Canis lupus familiaris: one gene and its partner. The protein of the gene in region 1 purifies or fractionates together with the protein of each later gene. This does not show direct contact. Links are inferred from orthologs where the notes say so. Each region holds a gene or a part of one and is shown on either strand. Other genes may lie near its edges. The genes, in order: TGOLN2 and GALNT2.

Region 1 (7,047 bases):
CACTCTAAATGACCTCTTCCCTTCAGTCAATTTACATAATTTGAAACTGTTTCACATGCAAACTTCCAGAAAAGTGTAGTTACAATTTACCTTCCATTCACTTCTTATCCCATTGCAGCCAGGTTTGCCCTCAACACTCTACTGAAATATCTAATTCTGGGACATCTGGGTGGCTCAGTGGATGAGCGTCTGCCTTCAGATCAGATCGTGATCCTGGGGTCCTGGGATTGAGTCCCACATAGGGCTCCCTACCGGGAGCCTGCTTCTCCTTCAACAGCCTGTGTCTCTGCCTCTCTCTGTGTCCCTCATGAATAAATAAATAAAATCTTAAAAAAAAAAAATCTAATTTTAACTCCTTATCTTCAACTCTATGCTGTATTTTATTTTGTTGATTTCACTTTCCTCATAGAAACACTCAGGTTGGGGCATCTGGGTAGTTCAGTCGCTTAAGCATCTGCTTTCAGCTCAGGTCATAGTCCCAAGTTACTGGGATCGATCCCCACATCAGGTTCCCTGCTCAGCTCATGTTCTTGCACGTGTGCTTGCTCTCTTTCAAATAAATAAATATTTTTTTAAAAAAAGAAACACTCAGTTCTATGACAATTGGGACAACTGGGAACTCTCAAAGGATGTTGAGTAAAGAAAGTGGGAAACAAGATGATTGTGTCCCAGAAGATAAGTGGCATGACTGGTTGTAGCACTAAAACTATAAAGAGGACCTGTAAGGTAAGAATGGTACGTATGTTTTGTAACTGGCTTTATTTTCAGTTAATAATCTATCATATGCACATAAATGCCTATAAAGAAGGGAAAACCAACAAAATATTCATGACAATAGCTCTGGATTATAAGATATTTTTATTTTCTTACTTTCATTTATCTTTATATTTAAAAATCTCATATAATGTAATTAATTATATAATAATAACTTTGGGGAGTCTTAATTATATGCCAGATATACTGCATGATTTGGACACTACTCTCCTGCCTAGTAATATGGATGCCAGGTCAAGCTAAACAATTCCATTCCCTTCCTTACACACATGCCAAGCAAATATCCTGTCATGTTAGCCAAATATTTATTTAAGGGAGGTGGAGATAATTTTCTTTTAGAAACAGATTCATTTACCAGTTCACATCCTTTAGCCAGAGCAGAGTCACATTTCTGAAATAACTTCATAAAAAATTTCTCTGATTCTTTTTTTTTTTTTAACATTATTTGACAGAGAAAGAGCTCACGCACATGCACGCAGAGGGAAGGGGCAGAGGGAGAAAGAAGTTTGAGCAGACTACCTGCTGAGCATAGAGCCTGACTCTGAGCTGGATCCTAGGACCCTAAGATCACAACCTGAGCTGAAATCAAGAGTTGGTTGCTTAACCCACTGCACCACCCAGGGACCCCACTTCTATGTGATTCTTATTCTCTCCTCAATAATGAGAGTGTGCGTGAGATTTTCTTACAACAGAAGAACACTGGGAAGTATATTGAAGGGTTTGTAAATAACAAAGTACCTGGTCCTGAAAACATTCTATGCCATGTACCTGTTCCTTGAAATTCTGAAGAATTTCAACTGACTGGAACTGCATGACATGTAACCTAAATATTGTACTCAACAGACTACAGAGGAGTAGTATTTCCCTTGGTGGCTGTAGTCCTTTTTGGTGGGATTACATTTTGACCCGAGTTAACTGGAATATTTTCTGATGTAGTTTTCTGTCACACAAAGACTTATGTTCTGGACAACTCCCAGATCATTTGCTCCTAAATCTGGCTTTGCTCCAGACCCATCCTTTGCCATTTTCCTTATTCTCTGTTATCTAGCAATCTTGTTCTCATCTTTAGACTTCCACAAAATATTAGGCTCCCACCTGCTTCCAGGCCTTCGCACATGCTGAAGGGAGAACTCATCCTCTTCTCTTCAACTTCACCTGGGAGATATCTACACTCTTAAGTTAGGATCTATCATTTTTAAAACTACTCTCTACTAAGCACCTAACCTGGCAAATGATTATAAAACGATTTCAAGCAGCCATTAATGTATAAACATAACAGTACTTTAAACAGTATGATATGGGGATCCCTTGGTGGCTCAGCGGTTTAGCACCACCTCTGGCCCAGGGCATGATCCTGGAGACCCGGGATCAAGTCCCATATCAGGCTCCCTGCATGGACCTGCTTCTTCCTCTGCCTGTGTCTCAGCCTCTCTCTCTCTCTCTCTTTCGCTCTCTGTGTCTCTCATGAATAAATAAATAAAATCTTTTAAAAAAATAAAAAAAAAAACAGTATGATACAAAACTATTTACCCAATGATACAAATTTGGAGGAAAATGAATATGTATAGAAAAGAACAAAAAATACACCAATATAAGACGGAGGAAAAAATAAGTACATACGTAAGTGTTAAAAAAAAAAAAACACTAGAAAATAAAACACTACATAGAAACACAATAAACTAAGTGGTAACTGTAGAATGGTAGGGAGCAAGAACTTTCTCATGTATAGCTTTTTTTTACTGAACCATTAGAATGTACCAAACCAAATATATTAAAATGTTTGCAAGACAGGGACGCCTGGGTGGCTCAGCAATTGAGCGTCTGCCTTCAGCTCAGGGCTCAGGGCGTGATCCTGGGTTGAGGGATTGAGTCCCCATCGCGCTACCTGTGAGGAGCCTGCTTCTCCCTCTACCTATGTCTCTGCCCCCCTCTCTCTCTCTGTCTCTCGTGAACGAATAAAGTCTTTTTTCTTTTTTAATGTCTGCAAGGCAGAAAACACACTAAAACTTTAATAGTGATTATCCCGGAAGAATGGGACAAAGATTTTGTCTTCTATTTCTATAAATACGCTCACTAAATCTTCTATAATGACTGTGAAGAACTTTCATGACCAGAAAAAAGATGTACCTTTGGGGAGACCTCGGAGAGCAGTTTCCGCGGGGTCAGGAAAGAGAGGAACTGGACTGGGAAGGCTCCCGCTACAAAGGTGACGGGATCAGTTTCTGTTTCCAGATGGGAGAGACCTGAGCGCAACACGTTTGTGTGCTACGAGCAAAGAACCATGAGAAAAGAGAGGTTAGAAAGGTGAGCAGTCTGAAGCCCAGGCGCCGGGTCCCAGCGAGTGCAGTCCCCACGGGGCCATCCGCAGGCTAGGGAGCTCTGGCTCTGCCAAAATTGTCTCGGAAATACAAGGGCAAAGAAGGAAAAGGGGACTGACGCTCGTGGTGGACCTGGGAAAGGAAGAAGGTGTAAGCTGCCTGCGCCGAGGGACGCTGCGCCGGCCCCAGCGAGAGCAGAACCACCGTCCTCTCCCGCCCTTGCCGAGGCCCCTCCCCTCGCCTGGGCGTGCGGCGGAAGGACGAGCGCAGGAAGGGGCGGGGCTATGAGCGCCCAGAGTGCGCGCGCGGATGTCGCGAGAGCAGTAGAGAGCGGAAGAGTAGTAAGTGCAGGATGCGGTTCCTGATTGCGTTGGCCCTGCTGAGCCTCGCAGTGGCGGGTAAGACCCCACCCCCAATAATCCTACTATCATCCCTAGGTCCACCGTCCTCACCGCGGCCGGGTCGCTCTCTGAACCCGCTTCTTCCCTGCCGGAGCCACCCCTCCGCTTGCCATCACCCACCTCCCCCGTTTGCCTGTTGCCTCGGTCTCTTCTAGCTCTGAGGGCTCCCTTCTCCCGGATTTCCTCTCTTCAGAGCGAACTGGTTTCTCTATTTCAGTGGCCCCAACAGGAGAGCCTAGCGAGCTGCAGCCACAGCCCGGAGACAACGGCCCTAGCAAGAAGCCCAAGCTTGAGGCCACAGGAGTCGACCCTGACAAGCCCAAGCCTGAAGCCACAGGAGAGGACCCTGACAAGAAGCCCAAGCTTGAGGCCACAGGAGTCGACCCTGACAAGCCCAAGCCTGAAGCCACAGGAGAGGACCCTGACAAGAAGCCCAAGCTTGAGGCCACAGGAGTCGACCCTGACAAGCCCAAGCCTGAAGCCACAGGAGAGGACCCTGACAAGAAGCCCAAGCTTGAGGCCACAGGAGTCGACCCTGACAAGCCCAAGCCTGAAGCCACAGGAGAGGACCCTGACAAGAAGCCCAAGCTTGAGGCCACAGGAGTCGACCCTGACAAGCCCAAGCCTGAAGCCACAGGAGAGGACCCTGACAAGAAGCCCAAGCTTGAGGCCACAGGAGTCGACCCTGACAAGCCCAAACCTGAAGCCACAGGAGAGGACCCTGACAAGAAGCCCAAGCCTGAGGCCACAGGAAACGACCCTGACAAGCCCAAGCCACAGCTCACCAGAGATGACTCTGACAAGATCCCCAAGCCTCAGGCCATGGGAGACAACCCTGACAAGAAGCCCAAGCCACACTCTATGGGAGACGACCCTGACGATGAGAAGCCCAAGCCACAGGCCACAGGAGATGGCACTAGCAAGGTGAAGTCCCAGATGCAGTCCTTGAATGACCACTCCAACAAGCTGGTCTCTAACCCCTCTTCTGATAACAAGAAGCCCACCAAGCCTCACTTAAACATACCAGCCGACAAAGATCCCACTCTGAATGATTATAAAAATGAATCTGAGGAGAGAGTATTACTGGACTCTGACCCCACTTCACAGCAGGAGGGAGAAGGCAAGTCTATAGAGCTTACCGAAGATGTGGAACCCAAGAAGGCTGAGGAAGGGGATACGGAGCCTGAAGAAGGTTCACCACTCCAAGGAGAGAAAGAAATGCCTGGCCTTGCCTCCAGTGAGAACCGTGAAGGGACACTTTTGGATTCTGTGGGTAGGCAGAATGATGACCTTTATAAGGACAGTCTTGGAAGTGCTAGTGCAGAAAGCAGCCACTTCTTTGCTTATCTGGTGACTGCAGCCATTCTTGTTGCTGTCCTCTATATTGCCTATCACAATAAACGGAAGGTAAGTCAAGAACTGTCTTGAGGAATGAGATTTCCTCCACCTTGAAAGCTTGGTGTGTGGGCCAATATCTGTCATTCATCTGCCTGTGAGCACTGGAGATTTCAAGTCAAACTTCAGTTTTTCCTCAGATTCTGCTAGGTCTCTTTACTCTCATTTTATAAATCATTTTCTTTCATGTCCGATTCTTTTGAGTGCCCTCTGCTGCTGTGTTAGGTGCCAAATGAGGACATTTTTATGATCTGACCTGAATTGGGGTCTTCTCCCACAATCTTAAATTTAGATCATTTTACTGCCTCCGAGAATCTGAGTACCTGACAGTTTGTAAGTAGAGTACTTATCTTCCTATTTCCACTCTGAAGATAGTGCATCATTTCTAGTTTCCTTTCCCACACTTTTATCTTGCATCTGCAATGGCAGAAAGAGTGGTTACATAGTCTTTGACATCAGCAGCAGAGAGCCCAGGGACTATCTTCTACAATCGGTTGAGTTTCCGATTAGAAGAATGACCAAAAATTGCATGGATACAATCGTCTTTTAATGTTACAGCAGATTTGGTGTGGAGTAATATCTGTGTTGCTTAGCAACCACTCTGATGACAAATGATTGCATTTCTTATTGAGCTCTAAGAATTTATTTTTTTAAAGATTTTATTTATTCATGAGAGACACACACAGAGAGGCAGAGATACAGGCAAAGGGAAAAGCAGGCTCCATCCCTGGACTCCAGGATCACGCCCCAGGGTGAAGGCAGCACTAAACCGCTAAGCCACCCAGGGATCCCGCTAGCTCTAAGAATTTAGTAGTTTCTATAGCCTGGTTAAAATTGGAGAGTTCAGTTTATGATATCAGTATGCCTATGGCTATGAGGAATGAGGGAAGATATTTAGTAAAAATAGTTCTTTATTCTACATCCAAGTGCTCGTCCCACAGAGTAATCTTAGATGTAAAAGCAGTAAGGTTAAAATGAAGCAAGGTGTGGGGAGGAAAAGTACATTTGCAGATAAGAAATAATTATTGCTTGTGAGAGAAAAGGAATGTCTGATCCTAGAGCTGTGTGGGGCACAGCTGGCAGATCTTTGTGCTCTTGAGTAAATCATCCAGACTCCCACAGGCTAACGGCCAGAATAGTCTTCCTTCATCTGTCATTTCCTGTTTAGCAGTATAAAAGATTCTGATGTAACTGGAGGCCCCGTCCTCCTGAAAACTGTTATAATTTAAAGATGCCTCTTGTGAGTTTGCGGCTCTTTCACTGCCGGGGTCATTAACAAATGTAGTACCAGGGCAGCCCGGGTGGCTCAGCAGTTTAACACCGTCTTCAGCCCAGGGTGTGATCCTGGAGACCAGGATTGAGTCACACGTTGGGCTCCCTGCATGGAGCTTGCTTCTCCCTCTGCCTGCTTCTCCGCCCAACCCACCCCCTCCCTCTCATGAATAAATAAATAAAATCTAAAAAAAAAAAAAAAAAATGTACTACCAGGTGATGACCTCTGATTTCAGAGACTGAAATAAGCCATTGTAGAATCATCTGTTAATTTCTTTTTCCTTTCCCCAGATTATTGCTTTTGTCCTAGAAGGAAAAAGATCTAAAGTCACTCGGCGGCCAAAAGCCAGTGATTACCAGCGTTTGGACCAGAAGGTAAGGAAGGGAGCCCCAGGTGTGTGGGAGGGATATGCAGTCTCAGGTAGGCCCAGCAGTGCACTTGATTTGCACTGGTGGTGGCAGCTGATTCTGGGTGCCACTGCCATTGCCCTGCCCTTTGTGGACCACAAAGCAGAGACATCCATATGTATGCATGTCTGCAATATGAGAACTAGAAGAAGCCTTCATGTGTTCTACATCAGCTCCATCTCTTGACAGAGGAGGAAACTGAGGCCCAGAAACATGATTTTCCCCAAAGTTCCTCCTAAAAGTTTGTGCCAAAATCAAGACCTGATGGCAACTCCATAGACACCTATCCTATACTTTTTGCACTGAACCAGCACTTCACAAATTTTAGGAGACATGTTAATCACCCTGGGAATTGTGATGAAAAAGCAAAATCTGATTCATTACATATAGGGTGAAATCTGTGCTTCTACATCTCTTGGAAGTTTGTAGGTGACGCCAAATGCTGAGGAACCAGGCTTTAGGTAGCAAAGCATTAGACT
Region 2 (6,249 bases), on another chromosome or scaffold:
AGAGAAGGGAATCAGATTCCATTCATTCCACATTCTTTGTCAAGCCTGATTTCTGGCCGCTCAGAGTGACACCGGGATGTTGGCAGCGCATACACACTTTACATGACAATGGAGGGATGATTGACAGCCAGGGAGCCAGAAAGGAGGCCATGATGGGCAGGTAGCTGTGACCTCCCCACTGCTCATCTGATTGCACTGAATTTCACTGTTGGCAGAAACTCCAGGTTAGAGATGGTGTGAGTATCATAGGGGCCTTGATACATCTTAGCATCCTCTTCTTGTGCACAAGCCAGTCCTGGAGGTGCTGGGTTCCTGTCTGCCTCGCTCTACCTCTTTCCCCACCTCATCCATTTGCCCTCTGAGAGGAGGCTCCTCCACTAATTTTATCTTGAAACTACACCGTCTTGCCAGTTGGGCTATTTGGTTTCCAGGCACGTCTGTGTGTTCGTGTTGTGTGTGCATTTGCAGAGTCAGAGGGGAAGGGGAGGCAGGAGGAAGAGAATTCAATTCCACGGTGTCAAAAGGATTTGCAAAAATACGGAAAGGAGCTTTAGTGCACACAGCGTAAAAAATTAATTAGAATCACAGACTATATTAATGAAGGGAGAGCTTTTGGGGGAAAAAAAGTGTGATCGTTTTTTCTTTTAAAGAACAAACATTAGAAATTTTTACGTAGGGGTAAACAACAAGGTGAGGGGACCTCAGATTTCTTTTAGGCTAGCCTGTGGGCTGTTTTCTTTCTTGTTTGGTTGGTTGATTAGTTGATTGGTGAGTTGGCTGGTTGGTTGACTGGTTGAGTTTGGTTAGCTGGTTGTTTGAGGTTAGTGGGTTGGTCTTGGTGGAGGGAGGATGTACACACTCAAATAAGAAGATGCTACACCCTGTGCTTTACAAGTATCACATTTGAGGGGCACCTGGGTGGCTCAGTGGTTGAGCGTCTGCCTTCAGCTCAGGTTGTGATCCTGGGGTCCTGAGATAGTGTCCCGCATTGGGCTCCCCACAGGGAGCCTGCTTCTCCCTCTGCCTGTGTTTCTGCCTCTCTCTGTGTGTCTCTCATGAATAAATAAATAAAATATTTAAAAAGGAAAAAAAAGAAAGAAAAAAAAAAAAGCATGCAAGTGTCACATTTGGAACTCAGCAAGTATTGCTTGGTCCCTGCCATGCAGAGCACTGGGGGCCCTTGGAGTGGCTGAGACAGGTTTGTCACACCCCCATTGAAGAGCTCACAGACTAGTAGAGAAAACAGACATTATTAGAAACGGGTCCTTCAGCATGACATCCTGTCCACTCAAGCATCTCGTACCCATTCCCCTGCTTTAATTGCGCATAAGGCCCTCAGTGGGAGCATGGAGGTGCCCAGGCCACGGCCTCTGGGCAGGGCTACCTTCCGTAGCCAGGGGTGGGATTGGGGTCCTCTTTCTGGCTCAGCTTCTTGGGGCTCCTTCTTTATGGTGAAATATCCTCAGAGGAGGCCTTCTTGTGGATGAATGCAAATTCCCTACTGGAAGCTCCCTACCTCAGGTCCTTGCGTTAATCACTCAGAATGGCCAGGTGTCCAGAGCACTGGTCCTTGGCTGCGGGGACAGCCAGGGAAGGGGGGTGGTGGGGTGGGAGAAGCCATCCTCAGCAGGCCCAGCACAGAGGTTTTGAGTTGCAGACCAAGGCAGAGAGCGTAGGTTTCCTTCCTGGATGCTGAACCACCCCTGGGCTGCTTTGTCTTGGGACAGTTGGTAATTCCTCCATTATGATCAGAGATTCCACCCCCACCTCACCCCCAAAAAAATACTTGGATTTTTTTGTTTGTCTGTCTGTAACGTAGCTAGAAGACCCTGCAAACGATGTGTTTCGTGTGGGCTGTTTGGTGTTTGGTGTGGGCTCTGATCGTAAGGCACTGACTGTCCTGTCTCCTGCAGAAATGGGAGCAGATCGAGGGCAACTCCAAGCTGCGGCACGTGGGCAGCAACCTGTGCCTGGACAGCCGCGCGGCCAAGAACGGGGGCCTGAGCGTGGAGGTGTGCGGCCCCGCCCTGTCCCAGCAGTGGAAGTTCACGCTCAACCTGCAGCCCTAGGAGCGCCCCGAGGCCGAGCTGGCCCGGCGCCCACAGCAGCAGGCCGAGTGGGGTGATCACCTTATTGATTATGTTTCTTGAACTTTCTGCGAAACTATATACCTCAGTATTCCATCATGGTCTGAAAGTCGGAGAACTTGCACGAGGCCCAGGGCCCGGGTGGACACCGCGCTCCTCGTCCCGTGGGAGGCAGCGAGGGCCGCCGCCGCCGCCACCGAAGCCCCAGCGATCCCTGGGAGGGCCCGAGGAGCCGCCGAACACGAACACGTACCGGCGGGGGCAGGGGGGCAGGGGCGGGGAGGGGGCAGGGAGTGTAGTTGCGACGTCACCGCGAGGAGAACTCTTGAAATCTCCATTTTCGATCCCATCGAAATCCCATCTGGTTTCCACGACGCCGAACCGTGTCATTTTGCAGATTTCTGTTCTTCCCCCGTCCCGCTCCTCCGTCCCCGCTGTCTTCCCAGCACAGCCCCCTCTTCCACGTGATGTACTTGCTCTGTTTGAATATGAACTTTTCTATGGTGGGACACTAAGTATAAATATATATAAGGAAAGAATGTACGGTCAGTTCCTTATGGTTTCTGTAGGTTGTCCTCATCGTGTCAGTTCCCCACAAAGCAGTTCACAGCCGGAAGGACGGGGACCGGGCCCTCCCCCGGGGAGGAGGTGGCCTCGTGGCCCCTGGGAGCCCCATCAGTGAGCAGGTGCTGCGGGGGCCCCTGGGGGCTTCAGCTTGGGAGTCGCTGCTAAGTGTCGGAATCCATTGTTGTGCCCTCAGTATCTGTAAACCTGGATGGGTTACTTATTTTGACAAACATTACTTTGGGTCTTTTAAAATTAGATTTTTTTTCTCTTAGGGAAAAAGCAAAAAAACAAGAACCCAGCCCCACAGCTTCCAATAGGTGAGGGTAGGAAGCTGTCCTAGACGGGCATCGGGCTAATCGTGAGTGTCCCATGAGCTGGCAAGACGGCCTGAATCTGGCCTGCCCACACTGTCCCTCCCAGACCTGTGTGCCTGCTTTTGGTCATGGGGCCCCGGAGTTAGGAGAGGGGGACACCAGACGATGCCTAATCAGTTGACGTGGAGGATTCCAGGCACAAAACAGGAGGCTTGTGCTTTAGGAAGCAGGGGTCCGTATAAACCACAAGACAGTTAGGAACTAAAAGCTGTAGCAGGAAGGGATGCCCAGGAAGGTGCCTGCAGAGCCCCCTTGGCCCCCTACAGAATGGCTCCCTCCTGCCTTCTCCCCTCACTGCCTTCACCCACCCCTCCCGCACGTATGCCCAGCATCAGAGAGGCCACCCCGGGACCACCCACAGCTGCTGCGTGGTGGGGCATGCGTCAGACATGCACATCCTCAGGCCCCTCTGGGGAGGGCCTGGAGGTCACAGAGTGAGAAGTGGCCCTAGAAGATTCTGCTGGGTTGACACTCTGCAAAGTGCCACTCTCTTCCCTGTCCCTTTCTTCTAGGAAAGGGGACACTATTGGTCTTTCTTCCTCCACTGCAAAAGCCCCATGTGTTTGCCCTGGGACACTGGGCTTAGGTACAGAGGCGTGGCTGGGCCACCATCCTGCGTCTTCCTGCCCTCTGTCAAGCAACCAGATGTGCTCACAATGCACAGGGAAGCCACAGATGGCTGACCTCTGCACTGTCTTCAGAGGCTGTCGGGACTGCAGGTAGGCCCTTGGGGACAGCGCCAGCTCCCTGTGCGAGGCTGCTGAGGGCAGGTGGGACGGGAACCAGTCTCGGTACTGGTGATTCTGCCCCAGCACCTGGGTTCCATCATCGGACCCTGTCACCTGTGAGCTCCTGCAGGCATTAGCAAAAAATACCCGTTGCTAGCAAACAAATCTGGCTTTGATGTAAAACCAATTCGAGTCAGGTTGTTGATGAATCCTTCCCCCACACGCCCCCACCCCACCCAGAACTCTCACCGAGCTTGTACCATCAGGATCCCCCCACCCCCCCTGTTCTGGGGCTGTTCCCCGTCCCTGAGCGGGTGGGGGTGGCAGAGGTGGCCGGCCGTGCGGGCCTCGTGAGTAGAGGTGGGCCGGGAGGGCTCCCTGGAGGTGGGCTATGTTTACAAGACAACAGTGTGCCAAAGTGACTTACTGTGGTTGCATTATTTCTTAGTCATCGGGACGATCCCACCCTCTCACTCCCGTTTTTACAAATACAGATTCTTTCCCAAGAGCCCTTTGAGCAAAGCGTGGCGAAGTCAGTCCTCTTCTCTCTGATGGTCTTTCTTATGTCTTCATAAAAGCTAAAATGATGGTATCTGTGAGTATGTTTTGCAAATTCAAAATATAGTTTGGTAATTTTTTTTCCAGTTGATTTTTAAAAAAGAACTGCTGTACAGAGCTTGTACTTTGTCCATTTTATAGATGGAAACCATCCTTGAAAATTGTTTAACTTAAATAAAGAGAAGATACTTTATAGATAACGCTCTCTGGCGGTGGCTGCGGTCATTCTTGGGCTTTACTGGAGGGGGGTGACTCATGTCTGAGAAACGGCCTGTCTTCTTTGGGGACCCTGCTCAATGACCATTTCTTAGCACACTTTTAAAAGCATTTGCTTAGTACTGCTGCGCCCTTGTGGTGTTTATTCTTATTTGTAGTAATAACCATTATCGTCGGTGGAGTGTTTATGATGTGCCAGGCACTGAGCCAAGCCCTGGGATTCGTTCTGTTGTCCTGCTCGCGGTAACCTGAGAGAAGATGTGATGGGGTGCCTTTCACAGCTGGCCTGAGAGGCTGTGGCTTGAAGCCCTTAACCTCAAGAGCAGGGGCTAACCTGCTCAAGGTCACACCACTCCCGAGTGCTCACCTGGAGTCAGTCCTGGGCACTCAGAGCCTTGCACACCGAATTGGGGTGGGGCGAGGGGGCAAACATTTTCACAGTTTTTATAGTATTTAAAACCCACAGGCGGGCAGCCCAGGTGGCTCAGCAGTTTAGGGCCGCCTTCAGCCCAGGGCCTGATCCTGGAGACCCGGGATCGAGTCCCACATCGGGCTCCCTGCATGGAGCCTGCTTCTCCCTCTGCCTGTGTCTCTGCCTCTCTCTCTTTCAAGAATAAATAAATAAAATCTTTAAAAAATAAAAAATAAATAAAACCCACAGGCTTGTTTACCAGTTCTCTGGGGCTCTCCGGGGCCATCTGAAGCTGCCTGAGACCCTTCCCCCTTATTCTCAGCCTTTGAAAATACCTACCTTTGAAATACCCCACAGGTACATCACAAAAACACTACAATGGCCTGTTCTTGGATGGGGACTGGGTGCTGAGAGGAGCACACCGGAAAGGCTGGCCCAGATGAGTTTTTCTTAATGTTCCAGAGACCACATTTCTGCGTCCTCTTTCCCCATTATCTGAGACAACCAAAAACTCAGTTTTCCTACCATCTGAGAAACAAAGATCTTAGCATAATTGTGCAGTGTCCCTCAGAGTCCTAGGAGTGTGTGTGTGTGTGTGTGTGTGTGTGTGTGTGTGAGGTTCCTGCTTTGGCATCAGGGAAAAGTTTATTCATTCAGTATTTGTTGAGAAACTCTGTATTGCCCTGACAGTCCTGAAGACTTAGGAGGGGAGGGAATGTTCCATGCCAAGCAAGAAGACAGGGTGCTCTGCAGGCTCTGAGTGGGGGCTTTGCAGAGACGAGCCTGGGTAGTAGAGTCAGGTGTGGGCTCTGGAATGCTCTGGAAGGAGTTTCAGCTGATACAGGGGGAAGGGAGCTCTGTGAGCCCTGGACTGGAGCTGGAGAGGGTCAGATGTGCAACATTGATTATAACAAAATATGTAACCTGACTCAGCTGTTTGATTCTACAGTACATTCCACACTCTTAAAAAATATTCCACCAGAAAAATAAAATCTCATCATCTCTTCTGTTCATGGACCTCCCAAAAAGCAAAAAAGCAAACTCCCTTCTTAGACCAACTTACTAATATTCCTGACCAGTCTACCGGTAAGGTAATACAAGGGTCGGTAGTTGATTTTCTGTATCGTGTGTGCTGCAGATGATACACATTGTTTCCAAGACACTGTAGGACCAGAGCGTCCCAAAACAGTAATGAGAGATGGCTCTGCAGCCCCTGCCTGAGCCCCTGGGGACCTGGGGTCAGTGGGACAGGGCTGCAAAATAGACCGTTGTGGTGCTCACCCTACGTCACACCTGCGGCCTGGGGT

What was found.
Region 2: the proteins of TGOLN2 (region 1) and GALNT2 purify together in Homo sapiens (affinity purification with mass spectrometry; 3 studies listed by BioGRID and IntAct, counting the BioPlex papers as one, with this or other methods). This does not show direct contact. The link is inferred for Canis lupus familiaris from reciprocal best matches to the Homo sapiens genes TGOLN2 and GALNT2.

Annotation. Positions count from the first base shown.
Region 1 is NC_049238.1:40,035,639-40,042,685, reverse strand, and holds the start of TGOLN2 (trans-Golgi network integral membrane protein 2), read left to right. Parts: upstream 1-3,303; 5' UTR 3,304-3,444; coding exon 3,445-3,490; intron 3,491-3,710; coding exon 3,711-4,900; intron 4,901-6,451; coding exon 6,452-6,535; intron 6,536-7,047. UniProt on the Homo sapiens protein: May be involved in regulating membrane traffic to and from trans-Golgi network.
Region 2 is NC_049225.1:9,431,537-9,437,785, reverse strand, and holds the end of GALNT2 (polypeptide N-acetylgalactosaminyltransferase 2), read left to right. Parts: intron 1-1,913; coding exon 1,914-2,069; 3' UTR 2,070-4,514; downstream 4,515-6,249. UniProt on the Homo sapiens protein: Catalyzes the initial reaction in O-linked oligosaccharide biosynthesis, the transfer of an N-acetyl-D-galactosamine residue to a serine or threonine residue on the protein receptor.